Linked DNA regions of Struthio camelus. The protein of the gene in region 1 purifies or fractionates together with the protein of each later gene. This does not show direct contact. Links are inferred from orthologs where the notes say so. Each region holds a gene or a part of one and is shown in the gene's direction. Other genes may lie near its edges.

Region 1 (15,551 bases):
CTGCTGCGACGGGGATTGACAGCTGCCATAGGTCTGGCCCCTCATCTGCACTGGGGCCACATTAACAGCGGCAAGCAGTGCCTTCTCTAAAACATTAAAGGTGAGCATGCGTCGTGCTAGTGTAGGTATTGTGTAGAAAACCTGCTCCCGCTTCCACTGAAGTCAACGGGAAAGTAAAACAGTCTCGGAGTCAGAGCTGTCCTTTCTTTACTCTTATTTAAATGCCAACCAATGTTTTATGTGGTCGTTTATTAAATAATAATAACACAATAATGCCCAGAGGCCCCAATTACGACTGGGAAGTCACTGCAGTGAGATTGTGCAAACGTGAAGGAAGGGACAGCAGGCTGGGAACGGGACGGCTCCCCAGCAGCGGAGAGCACAGCCTGGAAGTCGGCTCCTCTCGGCAGGCAGGAACAGCTTCTCCCAGTGCTCCAGGTCACCGGGAGTAGTCAGTCCTTTTGTTCGCGTGGGAGTTTTGTGTTACTTTGGTTTTCATTTTTTATTTGTTTTGTTTTTTAAAGTTAAGATATAGAATAACCAGGAAGACATACAAAGAGGTTTTCTTCAAAGTAGCTGAGCACGCAAAGGGGGAAAAGAGTGTATGTAGATGTGTATGCTAATTTTTATTAATTAAAACCAGAATGCTGCACTGCAGCTGTGCACAGTCTTTATTAGCTAATATTAAAAAAAAAAAGTGGCGATTCTCCTTTCACAAAAATCTAACCTTGGCAAAGCTCTGTTCACTTCAGTGAAGTAACTCCTCACTTTACAGCTATGTAAAGGTGCACAGGATCAGGGCCACCTATGAGCACAGGATCAGGGCAGGACCCCTCAGGAAGGACCCAAATGCTGATAACAAAACAAAAGGACAAACATAAGGCATATGGGGAGGACGATCCTAAGGAGCGGGATAAGAACAAGTATGTTGCTCTTGGCAGAAAGCAACTGGCAAAAGTTAATTGCATAGCCAGCTTCTCGTTCAGTTCTTTCTGCTTTGTTATGAAACAGGATTTTTTTTTTTTATTATAGACGAATGGAATACATTTCAGCCAAGGAATCTGTGCTGGATAGGCTTTATGGCAGAAGTACATTTTATAGGGAGAGATTTGAACGAGGACAGCGTGGATTTGGTTCACAAGACCGAGGCCTTTGTTCCAGACTAAAACAAAAAGGGCAGCATGAATGAAAGCCCCCAGAGGAAAGCACGAGGAGGTAAGGAAGGAAGTGATTAGAGGAAAGCTTGGGTGGACCAGAATGTGTGGCAGCAAAGACACAAACGCTGAATTAAAGCAGCAGCAGAACAATGCAGGGCCCTGAAGGTGCAGCCCGAAACTGAAGGGAAGAACAATAGGCAGCCCACAAAGGGGGGACGAAGGCAACAATGAGGAAAAGGGGAGCGGAGGGTGGGTAATGAAATCGTTCACTGCTAGAATGGGGAAAAGAGACACCCTGAGCTGAGGTTTCGAAAAGGAGAAGTTTAAGATTCCCTAGCGGAAGCACACACATAGTTTTTGTCAATTTTTCTTTTTTAACGAATTGAAAAGGTAAGGGAAAGGTACTGCATGGGCTTGTCACAGGTGGGCAGAGGTGTAGAAGCAGATGGGGTGAACTGATCCAACGTGGAGAGGCAGGTTAAGACATAGTTGTATGTTGATGGCACAGTGCACATATCAGCCAGGAAACAGAAAGGACCCCAGAGGTCAGCCACAGAGGCAGAGAGGTTTCTGAAAACAAAATGTTGGAAACTATCTGGAAAAAAAAGAGAAGGATGGAAAAGGCAGGTAAAATACGGGAAGAGAAGTTCAACCCTTAGTAAAGGATCTGGGAAAATAACGAGTTTTAAGTCGTCAGTTCTTTCTTGTTCTTTGTGAGTCTTTGAGAAAAGTGAGTCTAATAACAATGACATTTTCAGCTGGTTTCCACTGAGCTTACACGCAAAATTTCCACAGAAGCAATAGTTTTGCAACCAAAAGTATGTACTGATTTCTTCAATGTGCACACCAAACTTCAGGGGTAGGTCTTGTGAGTGAACAAAATAGAAGTATCTAAACCCTCCTCTAAGTTTGAAGAAACGTCTGCCTAGCAAGTTCAAGCGTACTTAAAATATAGTTCTGAAAACTGAGAGTATTCCCAGAGAGGCTCTACATACAACTGTTAACGTTCCCCACAATGAAGCTACTTTACAAAGAAATGTTGTTTTTTTCCTCAACTGCCATTACTGCAAAAACCATCTAAGATCTCTAGTTGCATTTTGTCTCCATTATACACCCTGGATGACAATAAAGATTTCTGCAGCAGGAGATGACTTAAGAACCTGGTTGAGGCTCTAAGAGCTATTGCCCCTCTCCCCAGCCCATATAATTAGTAGGGAATAGTTAATACATCTTGGTCATCACTGTGTTTTATGTTAGTTTGCTCATTAACATCCTGGCATGGAAGAAATACCTGACCTTCACTACACCTGAGCCTTACACAGTTGGGTGAGTTCAGTGAGAACCTGGGCTCCCGTCCACCACAACAGTTGAGCGGCAGTCACACAACTGAGAGGATGTTTGGCTTCAGTGGCTCTTAATTCACATGTTTAATATTACTCACAGGATTAATATTTGGCCTGTAATTTTTTCCATCATTCCAGTTCAATGTATTCTTAGGTGACTTGATTCTACCCTGAGGTTAGTAATAGCATACTGTTCCTTTATTAGTATAATCACTCATGAACAATAAATTGTCCTATAAAAAAATAATGAATTTTTTTTTTGAAAGAATCTCTGCAGATAAGAGTACTCTTTCTTTCTGCTAAAACAGTGGCAGCTTTTGAGGATCAAGAGGAAAGCAGAGTTTAGTTTCATTCAGTGCTTTTCAAAAAATTCATGCAGGGCACCTCCAATGTGCAGTTTGAAAATGCAGACTCCTTATACTCTGAAAGTAAGCAAACAAGGATAAAAGATAACAAAGACAGGCATGACAGAAGTTTTTATTTGTGTACTGAAATGTTCAACAGGGCACGTTTGGTAGGGAACGGCATGGGTGCGCAGGGCATTGGGGAATAAGGAACTCTGCTTTAGGTTGCAGTAACATTCCCAATTCTCCATGATACTGCCCTCCGTACACCTCATTACTCTGGTGAACCTATTCAAGGTCATGACTGACAAAAGATGGTTGAAGTGCGCCATTCTGTACTTTGCTAATACCAACACCTTCCTGAAATTGTAGAGGTAATATCTGCAGTAGGTAGAGCTGTAAAATTTTACTCTCTGCTTCCTAATTATTCTATATCCAGGTCTGTTAACACAATTCATGCTTATACACCAGTGAGTTTAGCAATTTTCCCTTTATAGCCTCAATGTATTGTCCTGAATACAGGTGAACTCACTGAAATGGGTTATTGCTGCGCTTCACCTTCTTGCAAGTAAAAAGTTTAGCTTCACTGTGACTTCACAGTTGCCACATTCTATTGCAAAATGACTACAAGGACTTTCTGGGTCCCTCCTGACAGTGCCGTGCCATTGGAGGCAACATATTATATAAATCCCTTTACTTATAATAGTAAGCTTAATTTAAAGACCAGCCAGATTTGATTTCGATTCTTTTTATTTCTACCCATACTGCTGCTACTGAAAGACTGCTCTGGAATCCCCTACGGCTGGTAGTTATAAATCTTTCTGTGATTTCCAGTTTGGGTCTAGCGATTACCAGTTCTTGTACCAGCATGGTCCTTAAAACTAAAATAGTTCTTAAAATTCTCTGGAATTTATCTGCTTCTTGTGCTTTATTTCTTATGACAAATCATAAACTTCAACTGCTATTTGGTTAGGCCAAACATTCCTTTAATTTCTTGCAGTAACTAAGTCTTCCATTCCTGTTTTCCTAATTAGCCCAGTCACCTTTTTCTATACAAATTCTACTTTGAATTATTCTTTCCTGAATTTGTATGACTGGAATTACATACATTATTTCAGATGAAATACTGCACCAATACTTCTGTATTTGTGCTAGAAACACCTTAATACCTTCGTTCCTTGCAAAGGATCCCATTTGCCCTATTGAAGGTCACGCCATGTTGCAGGTTCAGAGTTTAACTTCAGGAACGCTTTACCAGCATAAATCAGCACCAAAAGAAGAAGAGCTGACCTTCCCTGACCTCTGGCTTTCATCCCTCCCTCTGTGCATCCTTTCTCTTTTGCCAGCACTCTGTTACTGCACAGCAAAGCAGACTGAGAAAGCGACTGAATTTTTTATTTTGGCTGTTTTCCCCACCTCGCAACTCCTGCACTAATCCCCATTTTCTCAGCTTAACTAATCATTTTTCACTTGGCACCACACAAACATTTCACTGAAATCCGACAGATTTTCTCTACTGCGTTGTGCCTATAAAGCCTACAGGCACAAAGTACCCCTAATACACCACTAAGAAACCTTTGAGATGTATGACCAAACTCAACTGGAATGGCAGACACTGCTAATGTGACTTTTCCTGAATTAGGGTAAGATGGAACAAAGCTCCAGCTTAGCTAACCTGAGGTCATGTGCTTGTGAGCAGAACCGGTTAAGGAGAAATGACCCACCGCGTGAAGTGTCACGTTGTTCCATACGTGGGAGGAATACGGTCAGACAGCTTAAAAGAAAAAAGGACTGGGATGTGGACTCTGCACAGAATGGATAGGATGTCTCAAGGAAAAGGAAGAGGAAGCAGAGTCAACATAGGACATAAAGAGAATGAGAGGAAGACAGCAAAAAACTCAGAACAATGGAGGAACGGAGCGATGGCAGAAGGAAGGAGATGAGGACAGAAGAAAAGATTAAGACCAGCATTCAGGCAACGAGCATTTTCATCGTGGTCCCAAAGCAATATACTAAAACAGTTATTTTCTCACCCCAGTCAAAACTGTACAAAGGTCATAACGTTGTCCCACATCTGGACATGTCTTTTCAACAGGTGTCATGCTTGAAGTGCATATCCAGTAAAAAACAGTACAAAACTAGCGGTAAATAAACTATGCCCTGCTCCTACAATTAATGAAATTAGCTGATGCTGTTCATTTAAAAATACTCTCATAACACACAGATTTCTAAAGACACCCTATGTAGCACAAAATAGGACACTGCAAGCTGGTTACATAACAAGTAAGTAGAAGAAAGAACAATATAAACAGTGGTTTGCAGCTTTGACCCTATGGTGTTTCCTGCCACAATGAAAGTAAAAACACATGTTCCCTGACAACCATCAAACAGTGTCACTGCTGTTGGACATTTTGCTGCCTTAGGGCTTGTCTACATGCAAAGCTGCATTGGTTTAGCTGGGTGTAATTTGCTGCAAAGGGCTGTGTGAATTCTTATTTTGACTTAAATCAGACTCATTTCAGTTTAGCTCAACAAATTAAAGGTCAGCTTTAGTTACTCCCCTAAAGACTGAGTAACTCTTGATTAGGACAATCATGTTTCTAATCAATTGCTTACAATTATAGTCCTGCCTGCCTCAGCAAAAGCTTGCTTTCTAGTAGCTTATCTTGATGAAGTTTTGCCTGCTTCCTCAGACTGTCTTAATTGACTTAAATTGCACCTGAATGCTCTTTAGGATCTGGTGTCACTTGAGCTAATATATCTGAATCTTCTCTGTTTCTGAAGGCAGAAAATGCATATTAAACAGCACAAAACTGAAGTTCAATGGGAGAGTGATGACTATTCTAAAATTTGGTGGTGTTTTTTTTTTTTTCCCCCCCAAAAATTGCATGCAAACATGGGCACATCACAACACAGAGATGAAGACAGAACTGGCTGTTTTAGTCCTGTACAGGCACAGAGCATTCTACACTACAGAAGCGCATCATACCTGTGTCAAAAGACAGGCAAGATTTCCTTAATTCAAAACCTGTAAGAGCAACTTTGCCTCAGTCTTCGTGGGTGAAGTGCTTGGTCAGAATACCAGAATGTTGCGTGAACATGAGGGAAATTTGCTTGTTGCTTAGGGAAATTTAATGGAAATTGCAAATTAAATGAATGGAAAAACAGCCATCATTATTCCAAATAAGAGCGTCCACAGAAGGAGTTATACCCATATAACAATAGTAGGACAATTATAACACTCTAACAATGTCAGTACATTTCCTTAGCCTTGTTATGGAGAACCAGAACTTGTCTTAGTTTTAGAAGGGCTTGTCAAATTCCTCCTTAGTAAGGAAATATTTTAAGTACTTCCTCCACAGAGGAAAAAAAAATAACAGCCAAAAGAATCTTTTCGCTATTTTCTGTAATTAGTTTTAGGCCATGCCAAATCAAGTAAACCTAAGGAAAATTTATCCTAGTTGTTCCAACGTTGTCATGAGCTATCTGTCACAGAGAAAGCAAATTATTAATTACTACTTCTATTTCTGTTGGGCAGAAAGGCTCAGCCAGGTCACCCCACCTCTTACAACCTCAGCTATGCCAAGAGATGCACAACCACTTTGCTAACACGGGCTAAGATTTGTTTTCAGACTGACTGGGTGCTATTAAGGTTTAGTTAGCAATATATGCTAATTAAAGAACATATTACCTGTAAAGCAAAAACTTACTTCCAAATGATATTAAAAAATGAAAAGGCTTAATCAAATGCCCCTAGAAAAAGGCTGGCTTATTTTTCCTAAACCAAAATAATAATAACAATAAAAAGCTGAAAGATTTTTCTGAGGGCATACTCTGCTTCATTTTCCAAAGGCAAGCCTGCCTTTATGCTAATAGTTAAACTCAGAGTTGATACAGAAAAGTCGAAGGTTTTTAGGCCTACCAACTCCTGTTAGCTTTTCCAGAGCGCTAAAATGCAACACGGTTTGTTTCCATTAGGAAGTCGAACCATTCTCTGCCCTTTCCACACAAACCCATAGCTCTTTGAACCGCCTCCCTCACTACCTTCCTTAAGCCAGAAAGCCATTTATGTAAGCAGCAGAAAAATCGGTTGGTGTCACCGAGGTACAACTCCCAGCACAACACGCTTTTCTTTTTCTTTTTTTTTTTTGGCTGGCGTGCCCTTAGCCACAACCTCCACCTGCTCTGCACCTCTGAGCTGCCTCCTGCACGCTCCCTGCTCCGTCCTCACCGCGGAGGCCACTAACTGCCCTTCGCCCTTATTCCGAAGGCAGGCAAGCACCCTGCAGAGACAGAACCACTGCTGGACCGCCTCGGCACTTGCGAAAAAAATAAATAAAATAAATAAGAGAGGGGCCGGGCCGGAGCCTGCCTGGCGGCCGCGGGCAGGCCCAACGGCCTAGCGCCGGCGGCCCGGCTCTCATTCCCTTTGTGTCTCACGGACTCCGGGACCTCCCCGGAGCTTCTCCGGCTCCCGCGGCGGGGGGGGAAGGTACGCCGCTGGCTGGGGCGCCGAGGGTGCCCGTTAACCTCCCTTCCCCCTCCCCGGGGCTGGGCGCCGCCATCCCGCCCACCTCATCCCCTCGTCCTTTAACCCGCACCCCACTCCGCAGCCTCCGAGGGGGGATTTAAATCAGAACCCGGAAGCCAGGGCGGGCGGCGCGAGGCACGGCGGGATTTGTAGTCCCCCCGCCCCCGGCGGGCGCCCGGCCGCCGAGCCGCGGGGCGGGGGTAGGCAAACCACAAGTCCCTTGAGCCTCCGCGGCCGCCGCCGCCCCAGGCGCGCAGGCGCAGTGGAGGGGGCTGGTTTTTGAATCCGCGGCGTTGTTATTGACGCCATATTGCTGGTGTGGGAGTCACAGAGGGAAGCGCTGCCGCCGCCGCCGCTCGGGGCCCTGTCGCCATCGCTCGTCATCGGCGGCCCCGGGCCGGGTAGCCGGGCCCAGCTCCGCGCCCGCCGGCCCAGCTCCCGTCCCGCCACCGGCCGCAGGCGGAATTGGCCCGGCTAGGGCAGGACGGGCGGCGAGAGAGGGGATCCGGCCGGCCGAGCCGGAGCCGCCGGGGGCCGGGGCCGCTCCCCAGAGAGAGGCCGACGGGGAGGCGGCGGAGGCCCTGACGCAGCCGCCCCCTCCTTTCCCTGCCGCCCTCCCTTCCCTCCCCCCTAGTCCGCCCCAGACAGCGGCCAAGGAGCCTCTGGGCAGGGCCGGCTGCCGCCGCCGTCTCCCCTGCCCCTCGCTCCGAGCCCCCTTCCTCCGCCCCGCGCCATGGCTTGCGGCGCCACTTTGAAAAGGACTCTGGATTTCGACCCGCTGCTGAGCCCGGCGTCCCCGAAGCGGAGGCGATGTGCGCCATTGTCAGCCCCGGCCTCGGCCGCCTCCTCCTCCTCCTCCTCCTTCGCCGCCGCCTCCCCGCAGAAATACCTGCGCATGGAGCCCTCGCCCTTCGGAGAGGTGTCGTCCCGGCTCACCACAGGTGAGGGAGGCGGCCCCGCCGGGCCCGGGACCCCCCACCCCCGGGGAGGGCGCGGGGCGGCGGCGGCGGGGGGAGCTGGGCAGGGAGGGGGCCGGCAGGCGGCTGGAGGCGGCGGCGGCGGGGGGAAGCGGGGGGGAGGAGAAGGAGCAAGCGGGGAGGCTGGGGTGTCACCCGCGTCCCCCCTCCAGCCGTTTTCTCTGGGGCTGCGTGGCTGGCAGCGGCGGGGGCCGGGGCGATCCTTGCTCGGCTTGGCACCGCCGCGGCGGAGACACAATAGAAATGGCCGTTTGCAGCAGGAGAGGGGGAGGAGGGAGGAGGAGGAAGGGGGGGCGGGTTGAGCCGATGCGGGCTGGTGGCCATAGGAAGGGGGTCGGCGCGGGGGGAGACCGGAGAAAGGGACCGAAGCGAGGGAAGGGGGCGGGCGGGGTGGGGGGTATTGGTGAGGGAGGCTTGATCCGATGCCGAGGAAGAAGGGGGAGGTCGAGTTTCGGTCGGGGAACGGGCACGGAGGAGATTTTGGAGGAGTGTGGGTTGCCCCCTCCTCCCCCCCCCCCATGGGTGGCTGGATGTGGCAGGGAGAGCCGCAGGGGCGAGTCAAACTGCGGAAATGCTGGGGGCGGTGGTGGCCGCGGCGTGCGCGGGGGCGGGGATGGGGCTGGGCCGCGCCGAGGGGGCCCGGGCCCCGGCCCCTCTGCTCTCCTCGGGGCCCCGATCGATGCGCTGCAGCCATTACCGGCGGCTTGAGCGTTGCCCGAGCCGAGGCGGCGGCACCTCCTCCCGTTGCTCAGACATCGAGGGAGGGGGGCGGGAGGGCGGAGAGCGCGGCCTGTCATCAATCACCCGCAAAAACGCCAGTGGGAAAAAGGGCAAAAGCAGATAAAACAAAGAGCTAATTCCGTTTCCAGCCCCTTAATATGTGTCACGGTCCCGAATGGCCCATTCTGTGGTGTTCCTAAAGTTTCATGTGAAAACCAAGTGATGAAAGCGATTGTGTGCAAGCGCGAGAATTGCCTTTAGGGCAGATAAAATGGAACCGATTAGTGTCTTCCTCTCGGAGACGTTGGGTGAGAAAGAAACCTTTTTATGTTCTGCTCCATGATTCAACTGGTGGCCCTAAAAGCACCAGGTCGGCTGGTGTGATTGTGTCAATTAAAAATCAACCAAATTTGTTTTGCAAGTGAGTACGGACAGGAAAAAAAGGAATGAAACTTGGCAGGGCACACAAAATCGGTTGCCCCTTCCTATGGTTAGTCTGGTCCTTAGCTTCCAGCAATGCACTTGAGAACGTTTATGCTTGCAGTCATGAGCGGTTGTAGTGATGAGGTAAAGGTCTGGGTCCTTTGTGGGCAGGAAAGAGCCCTCTGTAATTGTTATAACTGAACTCCTTTTCCTGTTGCATTCATTACTCATTTTTATGCAAAAGTTGATCCTGGAGAATTGCACATATTTACGAAGCGGTAGGTTTAAATTGCTAAGTCCGTGTGGGACAGTGTCCTTTTTTTGGTATTTAGTTCTGAATAGTATTCAATAGCACACATTTTGAGTTTTTAATCAAGTACCCCCAAAATTGCTGTAGGGGGCCACAGAAAGATACAGAGGGCATATGAAAAACTGTTTTCTTACACTTGACATCAGTGCCTTGACATTTTTTTAAACCTCTGGGAAAAGATGTTGAATGAGTCAGCGGTCAGGGATGAGATTTGTGAGGGATGACACTCCCTAATACAGTGAAGCATTCTATGTACCTTAAGATGCACGTTTAAAACCGTAATGTAATTCTTGATAGAAGCTGAGGTGTTGCTGCACTACAGGGATTTCTTTTGGATTGTTTCATTGGGAATTGGAGGACTTAGGTTATGAATATCTAATAAAAATGTGTTCTGGCCAGTAAGTACGTGTTGCTGAAAGGAAGCAAACACAATTTTCAGCAGAGATATTACTTCAAATGCTGCTGTGGGTATTACCTGTACTCCCGTCTTTAATGTTAATCAATACAAAGCCCTTAAAATCTGAAATGGTTGCTGAAGTTAAACAGATACAGGCCTCATTATCTCTTGAGAAAGAGATAACCGGTACTCTTAGGGGTACAGGTTGTAATTCATCTGAAAATGTGATTATGTACTAACAAGGATTTATTTTCTAAAAGACATTATATAATATAATGAAAGGTAAAGGATAGTGAATCAAGATGTCTCTTACAGTACTGAATACTCCTGAGAAAAGCTTTGCGTGGATGCAGGTTTGCCCATTTACACAGCTTTTGCGTGAAAGCCGCTGCTCGGGTTTTTAATGCAAAAGCTTTATATAGTGCTAGTGCAAATGTGACTGTTGAAGGAGCTTGCTTAATTTTTCTCTTTTGATTAACTTTATTGATATTATTATATTACGTAACTGTATATATGATTCAGTGTGGTTAAAATGAGAGCCTATCATTTTGAAGAGGCCACTTGAAGGATTGTGTGGAATTCATCTCATCTAACCTTGTAAATGTACATCTGAGCTAATAATCTTATTTTCTCGATTGTGAAGAAATGGATGGTTTACTCTAGGGCTCCGACTTGGGATGAGACAAAGTGCGTCTCAGAAGTGTGTGCTTTCCATTGGCTGTTGGAGGAATTTAAATGGCTGTTTCTCATGTAGTCTGAGGAGTCTTCCGCTATGCCTGAAAAGGGTTCCAGTCTCATGTTAAAAGTGATCCCAAATGAGTTACTGTCTTGTTCAGCTTTTATATTGAGAAATTTAGCAACAATAGCCAGAGTTCAGTTGATTTTGCTTACAGTTTTCTCAATATATTACTGTAATGCAGAGATTTCCAACACTTGAAGAAAGAGCGTCTGCCTTAATTACTTTTAATGAAAATTGATGTTCATATGCAACCAGATTTTTGAATGTGAAACCTGATGTTGATACTTTAACCTCAGACTAAAACATTTTTCTTCCACCTGATACTCTGTGTCCTGGTACCATTCAACTTTAACCAGTGGAGAATATGTTAGCACCTCACCTTCTTAACATCTGGTTAATCATTTCAAAAATGAGTTATCTGGAAGCAGAATACAGAAGTGGGGGGCTGAGAACTAAGGATACAGTGTGGAAGTCAGATGAGAAAATAGTTGTCTGTACAGAATGCTCATAAGCTAATAAACTGTGTCTGTTAGAACATTTATTCAAGGTGAAATTTATATTTCACAAGAGTATTTTAATATTTTGGTCTTATTTGAACAGCTGTTAGGTCACTTCCAGTTTCTCAGTGAATTTGGCAGACAAACTGTAATTGTGGCTTCATGGTCTATACTTTCTGAGGGCTTTGTTACTTGAGTTTTTTTGAGTATGTTTGGTAATTTTTGGATACCATTGTTTTCATCTAGGATTATCTTTTCGAAACTCCCTTCACTATGAGCAATATCGAACATGGCTGCCTGATGCAAGATGGCTTTGATATTGAAAGAATAGCTCTTCCTAAGAAATTTCCTGCTTTTTGAATAGTACAGATGAGTTTTACCTTCATCAAATTCTAGCTGTAAAGGAGACTGTTCTGTATGATCAGAATAACTTTGTGTTGGATAGGTGCCCTGGAACTGATGATGCTTTGAGTGGCTGGGTTGCAGCAGGAAGGTAGTCACAAATGTTTACCAGATTGAAAATTTTTCTCTGCAGGGTTGCGGAGAAACCCTAACTTCTGTTAGGGTATGCATTGCCGTATCACACAAGTATGGATGAGTGAGTGGGCTTTATGAGGAGGACTGGACTTGGGCCTGTGCCTGTTGGATAATGCATTGTGTCTTTACAGTCTTCAGAATGCTGTCTTATTTTTAAGCTGTTAAATAGGTTTTCAATGATGAAAAGGGGAAGAAGTGGAGTAATTTTTTTTTTTTTTCCCAATGGGTGTCTTAGAACAGGTTATTTGCAGTTTAACCTTAATGGAAGATTACACTTAGGGGAAAAATTTATGAAGAAAAAAATAAATTAGGTGTGAGAAAGACCACTGTCTGGATATTTCTGATCCTGAAGCTATACTGGGAAGTACTGTCCAAAGAAATGAGGAAGGAGGGAAAAAAAATATCGACCTTAGGAATTTAAATCTCCTAATTCATCATGCACGGTAGCTGAGAAGACGGATTGAGATCGGTAGCTTTCTTCTATACTACTGATTCCACATCAGCGTTGCAGCTAGTTCTTTGTAGAATCAATAGGAGTATTGTATTTAAAAAGAGTTAGTGAAATCGCTTTAAAATCCACAAGCAAATTCTTGCATCTGACCATGCAGTTTTTTTCCTCCATCTGAAGCAGTCATCTGCCTGAATGTTTCCCCAGTAACTAACTGATGTTGCAAACCAAAAGCTGCAGTGGGTGGGGCTATTGAGAAGAGTCCTTCACCTCAGGTTATCGATTGAAATCCAAGCAGAGGTAATGTCAAACATTTGATGGCGTCTGGAAGCTTGGGTTTATGCACTGTTTTGCAGTGGGTATACGTAATTGGTATTTGCTACTTTAATGGCAGCCTCAACAAGTGAGGGCACTGACTGGATAGGTGTGAAAAGTAAGACTATTTCCTACAAACTTATCTCCGAATGGAGGTGTGTTGATTGCTCTGCAGAGCAGTGTGCTGCTACTGCATGCATCTTGTGGATAAGGCTAGCTTTCAGGACTGCTGTTCCTTGTTAATTCAGCACTGAATTATTACCTTCCATGTTTTTGCCTCCAGTCTTCGAAAAAGAAAGTTGCTATCAGGATAAGTAAAAATTGATGAATTATGAAATAATTTCAGTTTGCCGGCAAATGTTTATACTTAAAGGTGACAAATATTTGGTTTTAAGAGTCTCATCTGTCAGAAGAGGTAACTGAATATTTACGAATAGAAGCTAATGGAATTTGTCTTCATTGTATGCTTTGCTCTTTCACAGAACAATCTGAAAAAACATAGGACCTAATTAACATCAATTTTTAAAGTTGTGCAAGAAAATAACTTGGGCCTATTTCAATAGGAAGAAATGTTAATCTTTGCCTTTGACTGTCCTCCTTTGACCTTTGAGTTCCCCTTTTGAGGAAAGTTGACTACTTCTGTCTGAAACTTTCAGTCTTACAGTAGCCAAGTGCAGATTTGAGTTCTAAACGGAACAAGTCTCCTGGCTTTGGAATGTGATGTGTTGGTTTTGTTACATCTTTTTCTGCTTAATTTCTGTTTTGTTAACATTTATTGGCATGTATATCTATCGCTAAATTGCCTTGGCAAGATGCCAAGTTTCTCGGGCTCCAGTACCACAGCGATCATTAGGGGTTTAAAAACAAAATATTCCCACCCCTTTAGAAAAAAGAAAAAGCACATAATGGTTGCATCTGGACTTGCTAATTTAATTTATTGGAGAATTTTCTATATAGGTGCTTGTGGTGACTATAAATGTTGAATACTCTTGGTTTTGGGTGTCATAAAATGTTAAAGCAGTTCTTTGTTTCAGTTGCAAGTCTGATAAATCCAATGTGACATTTTTTGTGTGTGCAGAAAAAGACCTAATTGCTACGTCTAATACATTTTGCATTGCTTGATTTATTTTTCATTCCTCAACCCCTTGATCAGGAGAACTGGGATTTCCTGAAATAACGCATTTGCAAAATAAGCTAATGCATGTGTAAGCTAATGCATGTATCAGACTTGTTATGGAAGAAACAGAACCTTCATCAGTCCGAGACCTTGAGTAATTGGATCTCCAGAGGTGGCCACTTCTGTGCCAGGGTCCATCCAGAGTTTCTTCTGTTGGTTCTGTAGCTGTAGACACTGGCTGTGAAGTGTCAGCATGTGCTCGTTATCAGTGTTTTCTGTCTTAGAGTATAATCCTCTGGGACAAACATAATTTTCACGAGTTTATTACAGAAGCCTAACAGACCATGCCTAATTAAGAAAATAAATTGTAGTGACTGATGTCCATGACTAAAGCAAGAAAGTGAAAGAGGTATCTGGATCATTTTAATTTCTGTCTGTCTGCGGATTGCCTGGCTAAGTAGATAGAATGAGTGAAGAATGGGGTTACCCACTGCTTTGCTGCAGTGCTCTCCTTAGATGAAGTTAGTGTCATAAAATGGATGTTGTGTGTCAATAATCTGGTGGGGAAAACAAAATCAGGAATGTGGTAGCCTCAACTAAATGTTGGAATAAGGGAGATTGGCAAATGAAAACGCTCTACAGCTGAACTAACACTCTGAAACAGTTTTACCTTAAAAGGAGCTGAAATCCCTTGTGTACATCTTTATGATGTATGCTGCTGACATCAGAATAACATTTGATTGATTTACTTGGAAGAAATCTCAGGCATGGTTAAGCTTTGAATGTATATGTTGAATGGTGACATCACAAACTGAAACCTGAGCTTTAGGTTCCATTTCAGGCTGGGAAAACTGCTCCTCTGATTTCAGCCTATTGAGTCACCATCCCACTTGTTTGCCAAAATCTCCTTCAGCTAAATGAGAGAAGCCAAGGACTGAGATGTGAGATGGCTAGCTTAAAAATCAAACCAGGGAAAAAAAATCCTTCAGGGGAAACAGTGAACACCTTCATAGTTGATAAGCAATTATTAAAATGAAGAAAATAATTGTTTGCCCTGTTACCTTTTCAAATTGAAATGCTGTTTCAGTTGTACCTAGTTTCTAGATAATTGTAGGTCGGGATGAAGTAATTAGATGATAGAACTTTAAAAAGAGTAGCTTCTTGTCTCTTCCTCGTGAATTAAAGGAAGGAAGAAATAGACATCACCCCCTGGAAATTAGTATTTGGCTTTGTAATCCATTGGTGTGACAAATCATATTTCAGGTGTCAAACTAAGATTCTGAATTGCCCACTTCAGGTTTCAGCCTCTCTTCACTAGCTATGAAGGGAGTTTAAACATGTAATTTTGGTTTCCTGAATCATACCTTAGGTTCTGAAAGAAGACTTGTATGCTGTTGAATGCTGTTCTTCATCTTAATGCAGTATTTTATGAACAAATATGCTTAACTATATGCTCTGCCTTTACATGCATAGCTCTAGATGAAAAAGAATAACTTTCTGCTTCCTTATATTCAGATATACTTAATTTAATCCCCCATGCCTTTAACAGTCGTGGTCATAGTGACGCTTTCCATATATCATTCTTTGTCCTAGTCTTGAACCTGACCTTTTAACTGAGGGAGGAGAAGGGGCATAGAGTATAGTCTTGCATAACTGTGGCCTAGGTTCATAGTCATCTTGATTTTGAAATGTCATT
Region 2 (15,188 bases), on another chromosome or scaffold:
ACACTTTTCACATGTTTCAGGCAGGGAATGTCTCCAGAACATACAGGGAGGAAGCAGCTACCTGGAAGCAAAATTAAGAAGTCGAGATGACTCTTCAGTCCTGTGATCTGGAAATAAATATAATTTTCCAAGAGAAGGGTTGAGGTACAGCCCTGAAAAATAGCTTTATCCTATGTTCAGGAGAAATGAAAAAGCCACGTTTAGAGAGTTGTCCTCTAGGATGTAAATACATCAGTCTTTGGAGGCGACAGTCCCACACCAAGAAGAGAATAAAAACTAGATGTAGAACAGGAGATAAAGCAGTCACACTAGGTTAATAATCCCCGAGGTTGAACATATAGCTTCTATGTGAGACAAACAAAAATGGAACATGAGCATCAGTGGGTTCCAGTAAAAAGAACTTGGGTAGAACAAGCAGATGTTTTATGAAGAAAACAAAGGAGTACGAGATACGCTTCTGGTTCCAAAATTCAAAGTGAAGCGAGGAATGTTTGCTTAAATATGGTTGGAAAGAAACATTGACATACCCCCAAATAAAAAAAAAAAAAAGTGCAGCGTCATCTGTATATGAAAGCACCTGACGTATCTCAAATTTTCCAAGTTCTGAAATGTTTGTCAAACCTACTACTTGCAGTAATGTTTTTAAAGGTCCTTGAGTTTTGAATTGCAATACCGGGTCAGATTTTTAACAGCGTGGGGGCTCAGCTCCTGAATCTATGAGAACTAGGCATCTAAAAACTTACAAACATCTATTTTGTAAAATGCAGTAAAAATGGTAGCTCCCTGTCTACAGCATATGCAGTTAGCTTGATGAGCTCTCCATCACACAGGGTTTATTAAGGATAAAACAGTGTTGTAGAATGTTTGTAGAGCGCGTAGGCTGCTTCAGTATCTGTTGGGCATTTGGGGTTTCATGTTCTTGTTGCTGCTTGAAGTTAAATCTTAATCCAGCTGGGGACTGGCCAGGCGTAGATTTCCTTGGCGTACTGGAGACGCTGGAGCGCGCTCCCCCCCCACCAAACATGCCAGTGTGCCTATGTATCATGTAATGTCTCATCCTCCTCATTCAGGCTGATGCTGTCTCTGCCCCTTGTGTTAGCCCTTACTTCTTTTGGAGGATTTTTGCTCGTTACACCAGTCCCATATCAGCTGTGCATCTTTCCATGGGGGTCCTCTGTAGTGCAGGTCCACAGGGGAGCTCAAAGGCTTCCCCTGTGCTAACCATGAACTGAAACACAGGAAGAAATGAGTTCGTTGTAAAATATCTTTTCACGCTAAGACTATAATCTTTTGCAGAGAATGAACTTAATATCCCTAAAGCACGTCTAAAGAAAAGATAAGTGGAAGAACACTTTTAGCTTTGAAGCAAAATAATATGGCACTTGAAATGTGAGCTCTACATTTGCTAGCTTTGGAGGAAGTATGTACGCAGATACTGTGCGTGAAGAGATCATGCAACGTACCAAACAGGTGGGACTTCAAACCTGAAAAAGCCTGGAAGATTCAAACAAATGTTATTTGTACAAATGGAAGGACAAGCTGGAGCATTCAGAGCGGTTGTACAGTGGCTTGGACAAAAAGAAGGATCACAGGCTAGATAAACCATGCTTTGGGGATACCCTTCCTATCCCCAAACTGCATCCTCATTTTCTGCAAAATCATAGAAATACAGAGGAAACACAGCTCTCGTTAGTAAGAAGGGACAAAAATGATCATAAGTACTTTATACAGACACATGGACGGTCACTTGTTACAGTGTTAGCCAGACAGCAACAAGGGTACTAGAGGGAAGTCTGGTCAAACAGTCCTAGAACTGTATCATTGATTTTAGTGCAGTGGGAATTTACCTACGGAGTCCACTAAACCAGAATATTAGGACAGGCCCAAGATGACTAGATTACCCTGGGCTTGTGAAAGCTACACCCTGCATAAACATGTATTTGGTCCTCCAGTAGAAGCAGTATTTTGGATTTGGAAGCACAAGAGAGAAAAGTCATCCCTCATCTCCTCACCGTCTCTAGCCCTAGCAAGGAATGTGGAAGCTCAGGGAGGCAAAGGGTGTACGGGCACATCATGGTCGTGCCTATAATTAAGAAGAGACAGGGTCTCTTCTCTGCTGGTGAATGCGTTTGTTGTGGCGTGGTTTGTAGCCATATTGCAGAAGTCTGCTCAAAAATACCAACCCAGAATAGTCTTGCCTGTATCGCTTATTGGGAATGATCTCTGCTGTCCCCAACTCGCTGGCTATTGCCTGGGAGAGCGCTTTTTGGCATGGGACTGAAACAGTGCTGGGCATTGCCTGAGCCTGTGCTCTGGCCCAGTTTAGTTTAGGCGGAAAGATGCCAACCCAGTTTTCCTAACTCTTTTAGAAAGTAAAAGCTAATTTCATGGCGCTGGGATGTTTTTAACTTGGTGTTGTGGTGGAATCATTTTACCTAACTGCAGCTGTCTGGAAAACATCTAGTCTAAGGAGAGAGGAGCGTCTGGAGAGTGAGTCAAGCAATCTCCACTGAACGCCTGTTTCGAATGTCAAGAGTCACCTTCTGGAGCAGCTACCGCGCTCTGAGCAACTACCTGGGCCTGGCGCGGTTGCAGTTAAGGCCCAGCCACTGTAAGCGAGAGCTGTGGACAATGGAAGCAGGTCCTAAACACCACTGCCCACACACAGAGGACAGGACAGCCAGGCTTGTGTTTCTGTAGTATTTTGAGTTGTCGTTTCTACTTGTAGAAAACTTTTTCTAGAATTCCAGAATTGATATGCATGCTTTATATCAGAATTTGCTTGCAGCTTTCTTGACAAGAACATTTCAAAATGTACTGCTGGGGAAAATTTCACTGGACACATTTATCCCAGTGGAAGGGACTTCAGTGCAGAGGAGGCCCGCAAAGCTGACTCGGAATACAGCAAAACACACAACAAGAGTAATGGGTGGATGGCGAAAGTATGTCTCTACGGGAGCATGGACTTGGGCACAAATAGCAAGGTACGCTTATTTATTAAATAGCACTAGGAAAAGACTAATAACCAAATATTCTTAATGGTTGCGTGTTTATTGCCAGGTGATCATTCGATAACCCTCATGTAGCTTTACAGCAGAAAGAAAACCCTGACAGAGTGACCAGGATAATGACACATTTTCTCTCAAAACAGAAATTCCCTCATGCTGGAGGGAGTCTAAGTTGTAAGAGACCTATAGGGAAGGAGTTACAAGTGCCTATCACAGCCAGACCAAACACGGGGTTAGCATGACTTCTTTATAGCACTTACTAGACTCACCCACTGTATTGGGCTATTTTTATATATGGATCACTGTCAACAGTTTCACTGTGGTTTTGCTGAAGAGGAATAAAGACCAAACAGTCATCCCCAGGAGTACCGTGCTCCAAGAAGAGTGGGACCTGCTAGTACCGTGCCAAAATGCACCTCTATCACCACATAATGTCCCTCAAGTGAGAAATCTGTTTTTGTATGTGTTCATATTGCTTTTTTTGGTACTTGTAATGATTTGTAAAATTGCTGACACTTCCTAAATAAACAGTTGTAAAAAAGGAGAGATGGAAATAGAGCACACTTTCCTCTTCCGTGCACACGCGGCTCTCGCTTTACCCACTGTTCATGACCATCGGTAACTGCCTTGCTCCTGCCTCGTAAGGCATGAGGGTTGCCCATTTTCACAGAATCACAGAACGGCCAAGGTTGGAAGGGACCTCTGGAGATCAGCTAGTCCAACCCCCCTGCTCAAGCAGGGTCCTCTAGAGCACATTGCCCAGGATCACATCCAGGCGGGTTTTGAATATCTCCAGCGAAGGAGACTCCACTACCTCTCTGGGCAACCTGTGCCAGTGCTCTGTCACCCTCACAGTCAAGAAGTTTTTCCCCGTGTTCAGATGGAACTTCCTGTGGTTCAGTTTCTGCCCATTGCCTCTTGTCCTGTTGCTGGGCACCACGGAGAAGAGGCTGGCCCCATCCTCTTGACACCCTCCCTTCACATACTTGTACACATTGATGAGCTCGCCTCTCAGTCTTCTCTTCTCCAGGCTCGACAGGCCCAGCTCTCTCAGCCTTTCTTCAGAGGAGAGATGCCCCAGTCCCCTCATCATCTTGGTAGCCCTCTGCTGGACTCTCTCCAGGAGCTCCCTGTCTCTCTTGTACTGGGGAGCCCAGAATTGGACACAGTACTCCAGGTGAGGCCTCCCCAGGGCTGAGGAGAAGGGGAGGATCACCTCCCTCCACCTGCTAGCAACACTCTGCCTAATGCACCCACCCCAGGATCCCATTGGCCTTCTTGGCCACAAGGGCACACTGCTGCCTCATGTTTAACTTGTTGTCCCCCAGCACTCCCAGGTCCTTCTCTGCAGAGCTGCTTTCCAGCAGGTCAATCCCCAGCCTGTCCTGGTGCATGGGGTTATTCCTGCCTAGGTGCAGGACCCTGCACTTGCCTTTGTTGAACTTCAGGAGGTTCATCTCCGCTCAGCTCTCCAGCCTGTCCAGGTCCCTCTGAAAGGCAGCACAGCCTTCTGGGGTGTCAGCCACTCCCCCCAGTTTAGTATCCTCAGCAAACTTGCTGTGAATGCACTCTGTCCCTTCCTCCAGGTCATCGATGAATATGTTGAACAAGACTGGACCCAGTACCCCAGTACCTCTGGGGGACACTGCTAGCTGCAGGCCTCCACTGCAGCTAGACTCTCCTTAGTAGACTCTGCACCACTGACCACAACCCTCTGAGCTCAGCCATCCAGCCAGTTCTCAAGCCACCTCACTGGCCACTCATCCAACCCACACTTCCTGAGCTTACCTAGGAGGATGTGATGGGAGACAGTGTCCAAAGCCTTGCTGAAAACCAGGGAGACAACATCCACTGCTCTGCCCTCCTCTACCCAGCCCGTCATTCCATCACAGAAGGCTATCAGGTTGGTCAAGCATGATTTCCCTTTGGTGAATCCATGCTGACTACTCCTGATCACCTTCTTGTCTTCCACATGCTTAGTGAGGACCTCCAGGATGAGCTGTTCCATCACCTTTCCAGGGATGGAGGGGAGGCTGACAGGCCTGTCGTTTCCTGGCTCCTCCTTCTTGCCCTTTTGGAAGACTGGCGTGACATTGGCTTTCTTCCAGGCCTCAGGCACCTCCCCTGATCTCCAGGCCCTTTCCAAGGTGATGGAGAGTGGCCTAGCGATGACATCCGCCAGCTCCCTCAGCACTCGTGGGTGCATCCCATCAGGGACCATGGATTTGTGGATGTCAAGTTTGCCTAAATGATCTCTAACCCAGTCCTCCTCCACCAAGGGAAAGTCTTCCCTTCTCCAGACCTTCTGCCTTATCTCCAAGGTCTGGAATTCCTCAGGACTGGCCTTAGCAGTAAAGACTGAAGCAAAGAAGGCATTCAGCAACTCTGCCTTCTCTATATCCTTTGTCACTAGGGCACCCGCCCCATTCAGCAGCGGGCCCACGTTTTCCCTAGTCTTCCTTTTGCTATTGATGTATTGGAAGAACCCCTTCTTGTTATCCTTGACATCTCTTGCCAGATTTAATTCCAACTGGGCCTTAGCCTTCCTTGCCGCATCCCTGCACGCTCTGACAACGTCCCTGTATTCCTCCCAAGTGGCCTGTCCCCTTTTCCACATTCTGTGGACTTCCTTCTTCTGTTGGAGTTTGGCCAGGAGTTCCTTGCTCATCCATGCAGGTCTCCTGCCCGCTTTGCTCGATTTCTTCCTCAGAGGGATGCACTGCTCTTGAGCCTGGAGGAAGTGATGCTTGAATATTAACCAGCTCTCCTGGACCTCCCTTCCTTCTGGGGCCCTACCCCATGAGAGTTCTCCAAGTAGGTCCCTGAAGAGGCCAAAGTTAGCTCTCCTCAAGTCCAGCATTGCCGTCCTACTCGTTGCCCTGCTCCCTCCTCGTAGGATCCTCAACTCCACCATCTCATGGTCACTGCAGCCAAGGCTGCCCCCAACCTTCACCTCTCCAACTAGACCTTCTTTGTTCGTTAGTACAAGGTCTAGCAGTGCACCTCTCCTTGTTGGCTCCTCCACCACCTGGGTCAGGAAGTTATCCTCAACGCTCTGCTTTCTTTTGCTACCTCCAAATATCACGTGCAGCGATGCTCAAACCTCCGAACATGAATCAAGAACTGGAGGCTTAAATTAACTCCCAGCTGTGCCGCGGCTCAGACCCACCTGAGCCACGCGCTTGTAACCTGCCGCCCTGCACCCTGCTGCAGCGCCCAGACCAAGCGCTGGGCCTGCTCCCAGGCCAGCCAGGCGCTTTGGCAGCACTGGCGGCATCTTTTTAAAAGCAGCCGCAGATGTGAATTTACAGCGTTTATAAGCCAAATTGAAGTATTTGCGCGTAGGACGCTACCTCTATGCCCCTTAGCAGATGGCCCCGGCTTTTCATGGCAAGCTTTCTCCTCCTTGTGCTTGAGCTAAACCATCTCTTAGGGCTGCTTAAGAGCTCTGTAAAAATCACAAGCCTCCCGTTGGGCCAAGGGCAGCGCTGGCACCGGTGAGGCCGGCGGGGCGCCGAGCGCTGGGCTGGCGGCACCCTGCGCGGGTGGAAGCAGAGGTGCCCGCGGGGGCGAGCGGCCCCCTCGGCACTCGTGCTGACCCCCCGTTGCCAACCACCGCAGCAAATTTTTGCCGTGACTCTAACTGGGGCCTTTGCAGCCCCGTTTCTCTCTGCCGGCTCCAGAGGCCTCAGCCCGGGCAGCGCCCCCGGACCAGCCGCCTCCGCGGAGGCGCTTCCTGCCGGCCGCCGCCGAGCTGCCGAGAAGCGGCGCTGCCGCAGGCGGGCGCGGGGCTGCGCGGGCCGCGCGGCTCGCTGGGCTGCGGCCCCGCCGGCCGGCTCGGGCCGGGGCCGCCGCCATTTCGGCGCGCGGTCGCCGCAGTTCCCCGCCGGGCGGGCGGGGGGCGCTGCGGGCCGCGGGGGCGACATGGCGGCCGCGGGGGCGCCTCTCCCGCCGGGCCGCGGGGCCCTGTCGGCGGCGGCGGCGGCGAGGGCGCCGCGCGGCGGGGGGCGGGGCGTGCGTGCGTGCGTGCGTGCGTGCGTGCGTTTGGCGCGCGCGGCGGCCCGTAGCCCGCGCGCGGCCGGCGGCGGTGGCGGCGGCCGGCGGGGGGCGGGGGCGCCATGGCGGGCGCGGCGGCGGCGGCGGGCGGCGCGGTCGGCGGCGGGCCGGGGCCGGTGGCGCAGGGCCTGAAGGAAGCGCTGGTGGAGACGCTCACCGGCATCCTGTGTCCGGTGCAGGCGGTGCGCGCCGCCGCCGAGGAGCAGGTGAAGGTGCTGGAGGTGACGGAGGGTGAGTGTGGGCCGGGCCGGGCCGGGCGCGGGCGGGTGGCGGCGCCTCCCCCTCAGGGCCCGCGGCGGGCGGGCGGGCGGGCGGCCGGCGGCGCGGGGCCCGGCCCGGCCCGGGGCAGGGGCCGCCTCGCCGTGCCCGCCCCGGAGAGGCGCCGCCATCGCCTCGCAGCGCAGCGGCCGAGCGCACCGGGCGTCTCTGCTCGAGCCCAGCGCCGAGCACCTCGCTCGAAACTTCCAGCCTCAACTTTCTTGCCCGCGGGGAAAGCAGAAATACCCCGGGAGCTGTTTTCATACAGATTCGACGTTTTGCACCCAGTCTCTTTTAAACGAGTTACGCATCAGCTCGGAAATGCACCTGCGGGTTAGCATGTGTTTAATTTTTGCCAGGCGCACCTACGGGCTTCAGCCTGCTGGGGAAGCTGCTGGGTGTTGCACCGAGACACACGGCCCAGTTTCTTCAGGGTGTTTGGGCGCTACTCTGGTCGGGGTTGGAGACAGCCTTTGGACAATGTGTTGCTCGCAAGCTAGGTGAGAAGGGAGGTGAGCAAGGATGGAGCGGTCTAAATTCACTGCTACTAGGATGTTGGGAGGGGTTGAGAGTGGCTGGCGATGCAGCAGGCCTGCTGCTTTGGCCACCTCTTTCCACTTGAGCCAGAATCCCCCCGGGATGTTCACGCAGTGGTCGTTGAAAGTCTTCCCCCAGCGCCTTTTGTCTAGCGGGTCTGTCCCGCTCTCGCAGAGTCCTCTCTGCTTCCAGAAGTTTGCGCGCCCATGTGTGCGGCCACGTCCTGCAGGTCTTCACCTGTAAGTGGCTTGTTTAGGTTGGATATGGTCAGACGTAGCCATTCCCTTGTCTTAATCTGAAGCTCCTCCATTAGAGCTTCTGGGTGTTTGAGTGTTAACTGTGGAGTGGTAAGGACATAAGCAACACTGGAACTGGATGGCAACTGGCTTGTGACTTTCAAAAGCTAGTGCTTAAAAGAGCAAGTGCCTCCGGTTCAAACACTGTCTCTGGTTCTTCCTGTACTCATTTGACCTTTTTGTGGTTGCAGTACACTAGTTCATGAACTTAGTTTTTTCTCTTGGGAGAAGCTACACTTAAAATGTTGTTGATGGCTGTATTTTATTTCACATAGGCTCCTGTTTTAGGACCCGTCCCAGAAGAGTGGAATTTGTCAAAGCCAGTGGGAAATTTGCTGGTAGCCCTCTGTTACAGGAGCTAGGCACTGAAGAGTGAGATGTTGTAGGTCCTGTTTCCAAGTTGTGTACGTTGATGTCTCCTCTCCGCATGGGCCCTTCTGGAAATTTTACCTTAAAGTAGGAAAGCTGTTTATGAAGTATTTTCTAGTTCTTCTACTCCACAGCTTTAGTTCAGAAATGCTATCAAAGGAAACTTACAGTAAAGAGAAGGCAAAATGTAAGGGTGCAAATGGGTCAAGAATAGCATCGTGATTACGTTACCCTGAAAATGAAACTGAGGGTGATGAAAGGAAGGTGAACTGATCACGTTTCCTATTATGCAGTCCTTTCATGTGTGTTACTCTCTCAGATTAAGGCTTCCTTGTAGCACGACTAGGAAATTTGTGTGTTGCCACCGTAGCTGTTGGAGGTTTTAATCAGTGATTAGATGGCATTACAGTAGTGTGATTCTGGAATTGCTAAGAGGTTCATTGCCCCGTAGGGCTCTTGCCTTGCATAGCCTTGCATTGCATGCTCTTCAGCAGCAACTTGTGTTTTTTAAATAATCTGAATGTTAGCACAAGAAAGCAAACCACATTTGTCTGATAGTTTGAGTAGCAGTTAAATTTCCAGAAAAGAACATTTTCTTAGCAGTCTCTTGATGATAGATGTCATTAAGGTCCCTTTGAGAGCCTAGAAAGGCAACAAAATTACGGTTTGTGGATAACTTTTGATACATTCTTCTTCAATGAAATATTCAGGGGAAGAGGAATGGAGTTGTCTGTGCCTTCTCTTTTACAAATATCCTAAAATCATGCAACAGTTCTCTGCAGTCATAATCCCAGTACCGCAGGAGTCTCTCTTGGGACCTGTCCTGTTTAACATCTTTACCAGTGACTTGGAGGAGGCAAAGAAATACACTCTCCTTAAGGTTGCAGATAACCCCACATTGGGGAGGGACTGGTTGATATGCTTAATGGCAGGGCTGCCATCCAGAGGGTAGTAGAGAGGCTGGAGAAATGGTCCGACAGGAACCTCATGATATTTGGCAAGGACAAATGCAAAGTTCTGCACCTGGGAAGGACGAACCCGTTGCAAGGACACTGACTGGGGAGCAGCTCTGCGGAAAAGGCCCTGGGGATCTTAGTGATTAGTTGAATGTGAGCCAGCAAAGAAGGCCACCTGCATCCTTGATTGTGTGAACGGAATCAAAAGTAGTTACTAGGCCTCTCATCCGCACTTCTTAAACCACATCTAGAATACTGTGTCCAGTTTTGCAAGCCCCTTTACAGCAAAGACCTCAGTAAACTGGACTGGGTTCAGTGAAGGGTCCCCAAGATGATCAGCTAGAGAAGAGAAAGCTTTGGGGCAGGAGGGGACCTGACAGTAGCTTCTGAACGCTGTGAGGAGGTTGTTAGGGCATCGAGGGCAGTGGGGAAGGATGAGATAAAATGGATACAAATCGAAACAAGAGAGGTTTGCATATAAGGAGCAATTTTTTTCACTGTGAGGACAGTCGTGCTTTGGAGCAGATTGTCCAGAGATGTTCTGCAGTTTCCATCCTTGGAGATATTCAAGTCCTAACCGGAAAAAGCTCTGAGCAACCTGGTCTGATCCTTTTGACCCTGCTTTGTTGACGAGGTTGGACTAGAGACCTCCCAAGGTCCCCTCCAGCCTGAGTTATTCTGTGCTTCTTGTGATTCCTTCTCTCTTGCCTTAGTCAAGGAGCGTGGAAAGAGTATTGCTATCTTTTCCTTTCTGTACTTTGATATGGAGAAACTTGCCAAAAAGGAAACTTAAGAGAGGAGCTAAAGGAATAAAATGTTTAACAACACCTTATTATTGGGGTAAAGAAATGTAGATTGTGTCTGTCAAAAATATTTTAGAGAAACCAAAAATCTAGTATGATTAAGCAGAAAGAAGCTGTTGAAGGTAAACATGAGGGCCTTAGAAAAGAGCGTAAGTGTTGGTACTTTTGATGAAAAATATATGAGGTAGGCCAGAAAAATTGAGGAAAGACTTGTTAAAGACACGAAATATAGCAGAAGCAGAAAGCATTTCAGAGAGTTTACATAGCCACCAGATGTTGGAAGTGGAAAAGGTATGTTCAGGGACCACAGAAAAGCTAAATTCCTGATGTTGCTATTCCTTTAGGTTGCTGTGTTGGAAGACCTCTTTACAGCAGGCACGTTGGAGAATCCATGTCAAGTTGAAGCATGAGTAGGAGACGTCTCACTTGGTCAGTTTACTTTAAGCAGCAAGTGCTACATGATGAATCTCCAGGAGTTTTAAAGGCCCTCAAATATTAAATTACTGTGCTATGAATTATGTTATAAAACTTGCCACTAATGTGATTTAGGGACCAGATAAGGGTAGGTGAGTAACTGTGAGGTCAGCTTTTAATAAGGACTCTGAGGTAAGGAATAGAGGGATGGATGTTGGGGTGGTTATAGGTCATCAGGTATGGCTTTTGCACTGTCTGCAGTGCTTAAAATTATGTCAAGAAGTGGAACGAGTAGACCTGGATACATGTGATTTTTGTGGCAGAGTCAATGTATGTTTAATAGAAGTGCTGTTTGAAGGAGTGCTGGGCTTGTCAGAAAGCTTTTAGAAAGTTTCCTTTCAGAAACTTTTCACAGAAATTAAACAGCTGTGGACAGGTCTTGAATTAATAACCAATTAAAAGCTTGGATACAGGACTTTGTAGAAGTGACTTGTCATATTCCCCACTGGAGGGAGATAGCTAAGGTCCCACATGAAGCTGTACTGGGGTCTGTGCTGTTCAACACGTCCATCAGTGATGTGGAAAAGAGTGAGCAGTGGTGGTGCTGGTAGTACTATGCTATTCAGTTTGGAAGTGGAAACTGGTGGCAAAGAATTGCAGAATAATTTCACAAAAGTGAGTGGTGGCATGTGCAAGTGGAAAATGCAAGTCAGTGTTGATAAATGCAAATTAACGTTTGGGGAGGAGGAGAAGACAGCCCAAATGATACCTAAAAAGTAATGGGCTATAATATCTATTACCACTTGGAGAAGAGATGCCAGAGTTAGTGTGGGGAGTTCCCTGAAAATGTCCATTCGCTGCTCTGCAAGGCAAATGGAGCGGTAAGAAGGGAACAGAGAACAAAGCGCGACAGCAAATTCCTCATGCTTCTATGGTTTGAGTGCAGCATGCATTACTGGCTTGCTGCTTTCAGAAGGGATAAAGCAGAGTAGTGAAAATGCAGCAGAGATGTGCAGAAGGGTGGAACAGCTGCTGCTCCAAGAAAGACCAAATAAATTGACTTTGCAGCCGGAGAAAGAGCTAGCAGAGATGGAGTTGCTAAAATCCTAAGTGACAGAGAAGGTGAGTGAGGAGTGGTTATTTGTGACTTCTCATAAGGCAAGAGCAAAGGTAGCATCAGGTAAAAATGAACATAAAACAAGTAAAAAGGTAGTAGTTTGTTTTTTTTTGTTTACAGACCGTGGAACTCATTGCTGTTGATGCTTTGAATATTACAGGTAGAAATAATTTAAATGTGATTTGACACTTTTGGAGGAAAAAGTCATTAAGAACCATTAAACATACTGGTATGGATACAGCATTTGTTTCAGGAGGGTCTTAATCCAGAGACTGCTAGGGAACTGTATTGGGGGGAGTATTGTTCTGCCCTAGCCTCTTTTCTTAAGCCACTTGGGAGTTCGGTTGTGTAATACAGTTAAGCCAATATAGCAATCGGCTCTCATGGAGGGGGGAATCTTGCTATGGATTGCATGCTCCCTTGTGCTAGCAGGGTTTAGCCAGGTCAAGACTACTCAATTTTTTTGTAGGGGTAAAAGGGACAACTTGGTGGTTGAACGGTACTACTGTATGTCCCTCTACTGTGACTTGACTCTGCTGTTGGCTTCCTGGTGGTGAAGTGGGGATAGCGTTCCCATTCCCTGTTTTGTCCACTTAACTTAAGCCCTTCATGCATCACCTTTTATGGCATATGTGTATATACAATGGCTAACATACTGTGACTTAAACAATTCTGTAACATTTAAAAAGAAAGGTCTCTTTCTCCAATTCTTGCTGTACTGGAGATGGTTTTGCCTCTAAGCATTCTCCGAGAACGCTGGAACATGTGTAGTGACCACTCTGCTAAATGAGGTGTATGGTGCCTGTCCAAAAGGAGGGATCGTACTTTTAACCTGTTAAGAGGAACAGTGTCTATAATGTGCTCCTCTGAACTATGCTGATATGGAATTTTAATGCCAACTTCTTATACATTTGAAAAATACTTGCAGCTGAGGCTGATGTTATAGCACTATAATTGGGAAGGGCACGCTGTTTTTTCTTTGTATGTAACAAATTTGAGTTTTACAGTGACAGCGTTGAGTCTCTGAGCTGTTGGCTCTTGTGCTGGTGATACACAAATGGCTGCAGACTGGATACTCGCCTTTCTTTTGTCTGTCTAGTTTGTGTGTTTCTGTTTCCCCTTTTTGAAGATAGAACATTTATTTCTAGGGCTATCTTCAGCTTGGCTATTTTTGACATAACCTAGTATATAACCTAGTATTGTGGAAGCAGGGATTATGGACAATTTACAAATGTGCCCACACTTTGTAGTCTTATAGATGGTGTCTTGATTGTAACTTGAATTCCAGTGGAGTGGATGATGGGCACAGGTGGATGGAAGTCCTGTGAATGGATTACTTGAGCTGAACTTTTAACCGGGAGTCCTAGTGGGAAATCAAAACAGGAAGCACTCTCCTTGGGACACATGATGCACGATTTTCAGACAGACTGGTTACTCACAGCAGCAAATTGCTTTCGCTGTGAAATGCTAAGAAACGTGTTGACTTTTGTGAAAAGTTGTGATGAGTGTTTAGAAGTGAGATACCTGAAACCACCACAGCTATTTGAGAAGCTTGACTGTAATCTTTCTGTTCTTCCCTGAGAAATGGGGAAGATGTAGCTGTAGTTTTCAAAGGTGTCCTGAAAATAAGTGAACGCTTCTGGAGCAGTCATTTGGTTTCGTGATGGATGCTGATGGACTTCAAAGAAACTGTGGAGTTTGAATTCATATAGTGAGTAAAAATTACAACTAAACATTAGGTAGTTACTCAATATTTCTTCCTATTAACTCCAGACTTTCTTCCTTTCCTATCTGCAAATGCCTTCCGTCTTCTGCCTTGCTCTGACCTCGTAGCTGACCCAGCTTTGAGCAGGAGGTTGGACAAGATGACCTTCTGAGGTGTCTTTCAACCTGAATTACTCTCTGATGATGCCAATGAACGCTGGTCCTGTGGAAAACACCGTGTGTGACCGTGTTGTTAAAGACTGTGAGGCGCAAGGGATGGGCAGACATTGGGTAAAGAGAACCTAATTTCTGATACTTCTGAAGTTGTCGGATCTGGTCTTGGCACAATTGCATTGTTTTAGTTCGGAGTGCTGGCAATCATGCAGCAGTGGATTGACCTGGGTTGGCTGTGACAACTACCATGGCCTGTTTTTCAGCCAGTGCTTATCTTTGCCCCCCAGCAGAGACAACTGAGAGGGACCTGTAGCTGCTCCTGAATCATTTGAGTGTGGTCCTATTAGGCTGAACTTAATTGGCGCTGGCTGACTTTAACAAGCTAGGCTGTGAAGAGCACTGATTGCCTAGAAAGTCCTGCTCATTTATTCCTCCCTGCTTGTCTAATAATAATTTTTTTTTGGTCTGGTCTGCCTTCATTTCTCAGAAAAGTTGTGGGTGGAGAGCTAGTAGGTTATGTCACCTGGTTATGCAGTAGATGAAGCTTGGTTGTGAAGGAGGACAGTTTGAGAGCAGGATTTTATTAATGTCTCCTTAATGGAGAGGTGAAACAGAGTAGGGATGAAATATATTTGCTAAATGCCCCATGTATCAGGCCCTCTATTAAAAGTTGCTAATCTTTTGTTTTTACAAATTTTATTTTGGGAGGAAGACTTGATGTTTCTGTTGTATCAGATATAAAAAATGGAAGTGAAAGAAGCGCTTAGGAAGAGATGCATTTGAATTGCATTTATCTGCAGTACAGATAGAAAGCTCCCAGCCAATGAAAAGGAGAAAAAAGAGTTTTAAAAAAAAAAAATTTTTGAAAAAAAGAGAAGAGGAGACAGCAAACTATATGCTGATCGATCTAACTTCAATCCCTAGAAAGGTTCTTGGAGCAGATCACTAAAAAGTTTGCCAGTGTCTATAACATAATAGGATGCTAAACAGCTAATACGGTTTGATATGATCTGTTCTTGTTAAATCTATCTGATTTTGTTTGACAGGAGAGTTGGCCTGTTCCTTAAACAAAAAGGAAAAAAAAAAGCACTGGTAGGGTATGATTTCAGCAAGGTTTTTTTAATATGAATTCCCCACGAAGTTCTTTTCTGTCAGCTGAAAATATACATTTTTGTAACATTGTGAGATGCACAGGTGGCCGAAAACCTGCGATTTAGAGCAATTATCGGTGGCTTACCGTCAAACCTGAAGGGCTTTTAAGGCAGTGCTCTTAGCCAGTGGTAGTGAGTTTACCGGTGATGGCAGTGGGGAGGCGCTGCAGTCTGTCTGGAGAGCAGAACTGAAAATTAAGAAGATCTGGGAAAGTTGGAAAGATGGCCTAAAATCATTAAAACAGAAATCTGTGAGTCAATTATGTGTAGCAGAGTGCTATACGTAAAGGGGGAAAAAATTGCATGTAGGAACGCTTGAAAATTACAGATTTAAAGATTGCAAAA

Evidence for each region.
Region 2: the proteins of AKIRIN2 (region 1) and IPO9 purify together in Homo sapiens (affinity purification with mass spectrometry; 3 studies listed by BioGRID and IntAct, counting the BioPlex papers as one, with this or other methods). This does not show direct contact. The link is inferred for Struthio camelus from reciprocal best matches to the Homo sapiens genes AKIRIN2 and IPO9.

Annotation. Positions count from the first base shown.
Region 1 is NC_090944.1:49,340,305-49,355,855, reverse strand, and holds the start of AKIRIN2 (akirin-2), read left to right. Parts: upstream 1-7,654; 5' UTR 7,655-8,108; coding exon 8,109-8,316; intron 8,317-15,551. UniProt on the Homo sapiens protein: Molecular adapter that acts as a bridge between a variety of multiprotein complexes, and which is involved in embryonic development, immunity, myogenesis and brain development.
Region 2 is NC_090965.1:2,998,156-3,013,343, forward strand, and holds the start of IPO9 (importin-9), read left to right. Parts: upstream 1-7,126; coding exon 7,127-7,295; intron 7,296-13,656; exon of another isoform or gene 13,657-13,809; intron 13,810-15,188. UniProt on the Homo sapiens protein: Nuclear transport receptor that mediates nuclear import of proteins, such as histones, proteasome and actin. Serves as receptor for nuclear localization signals (NLS) in cargo substrates.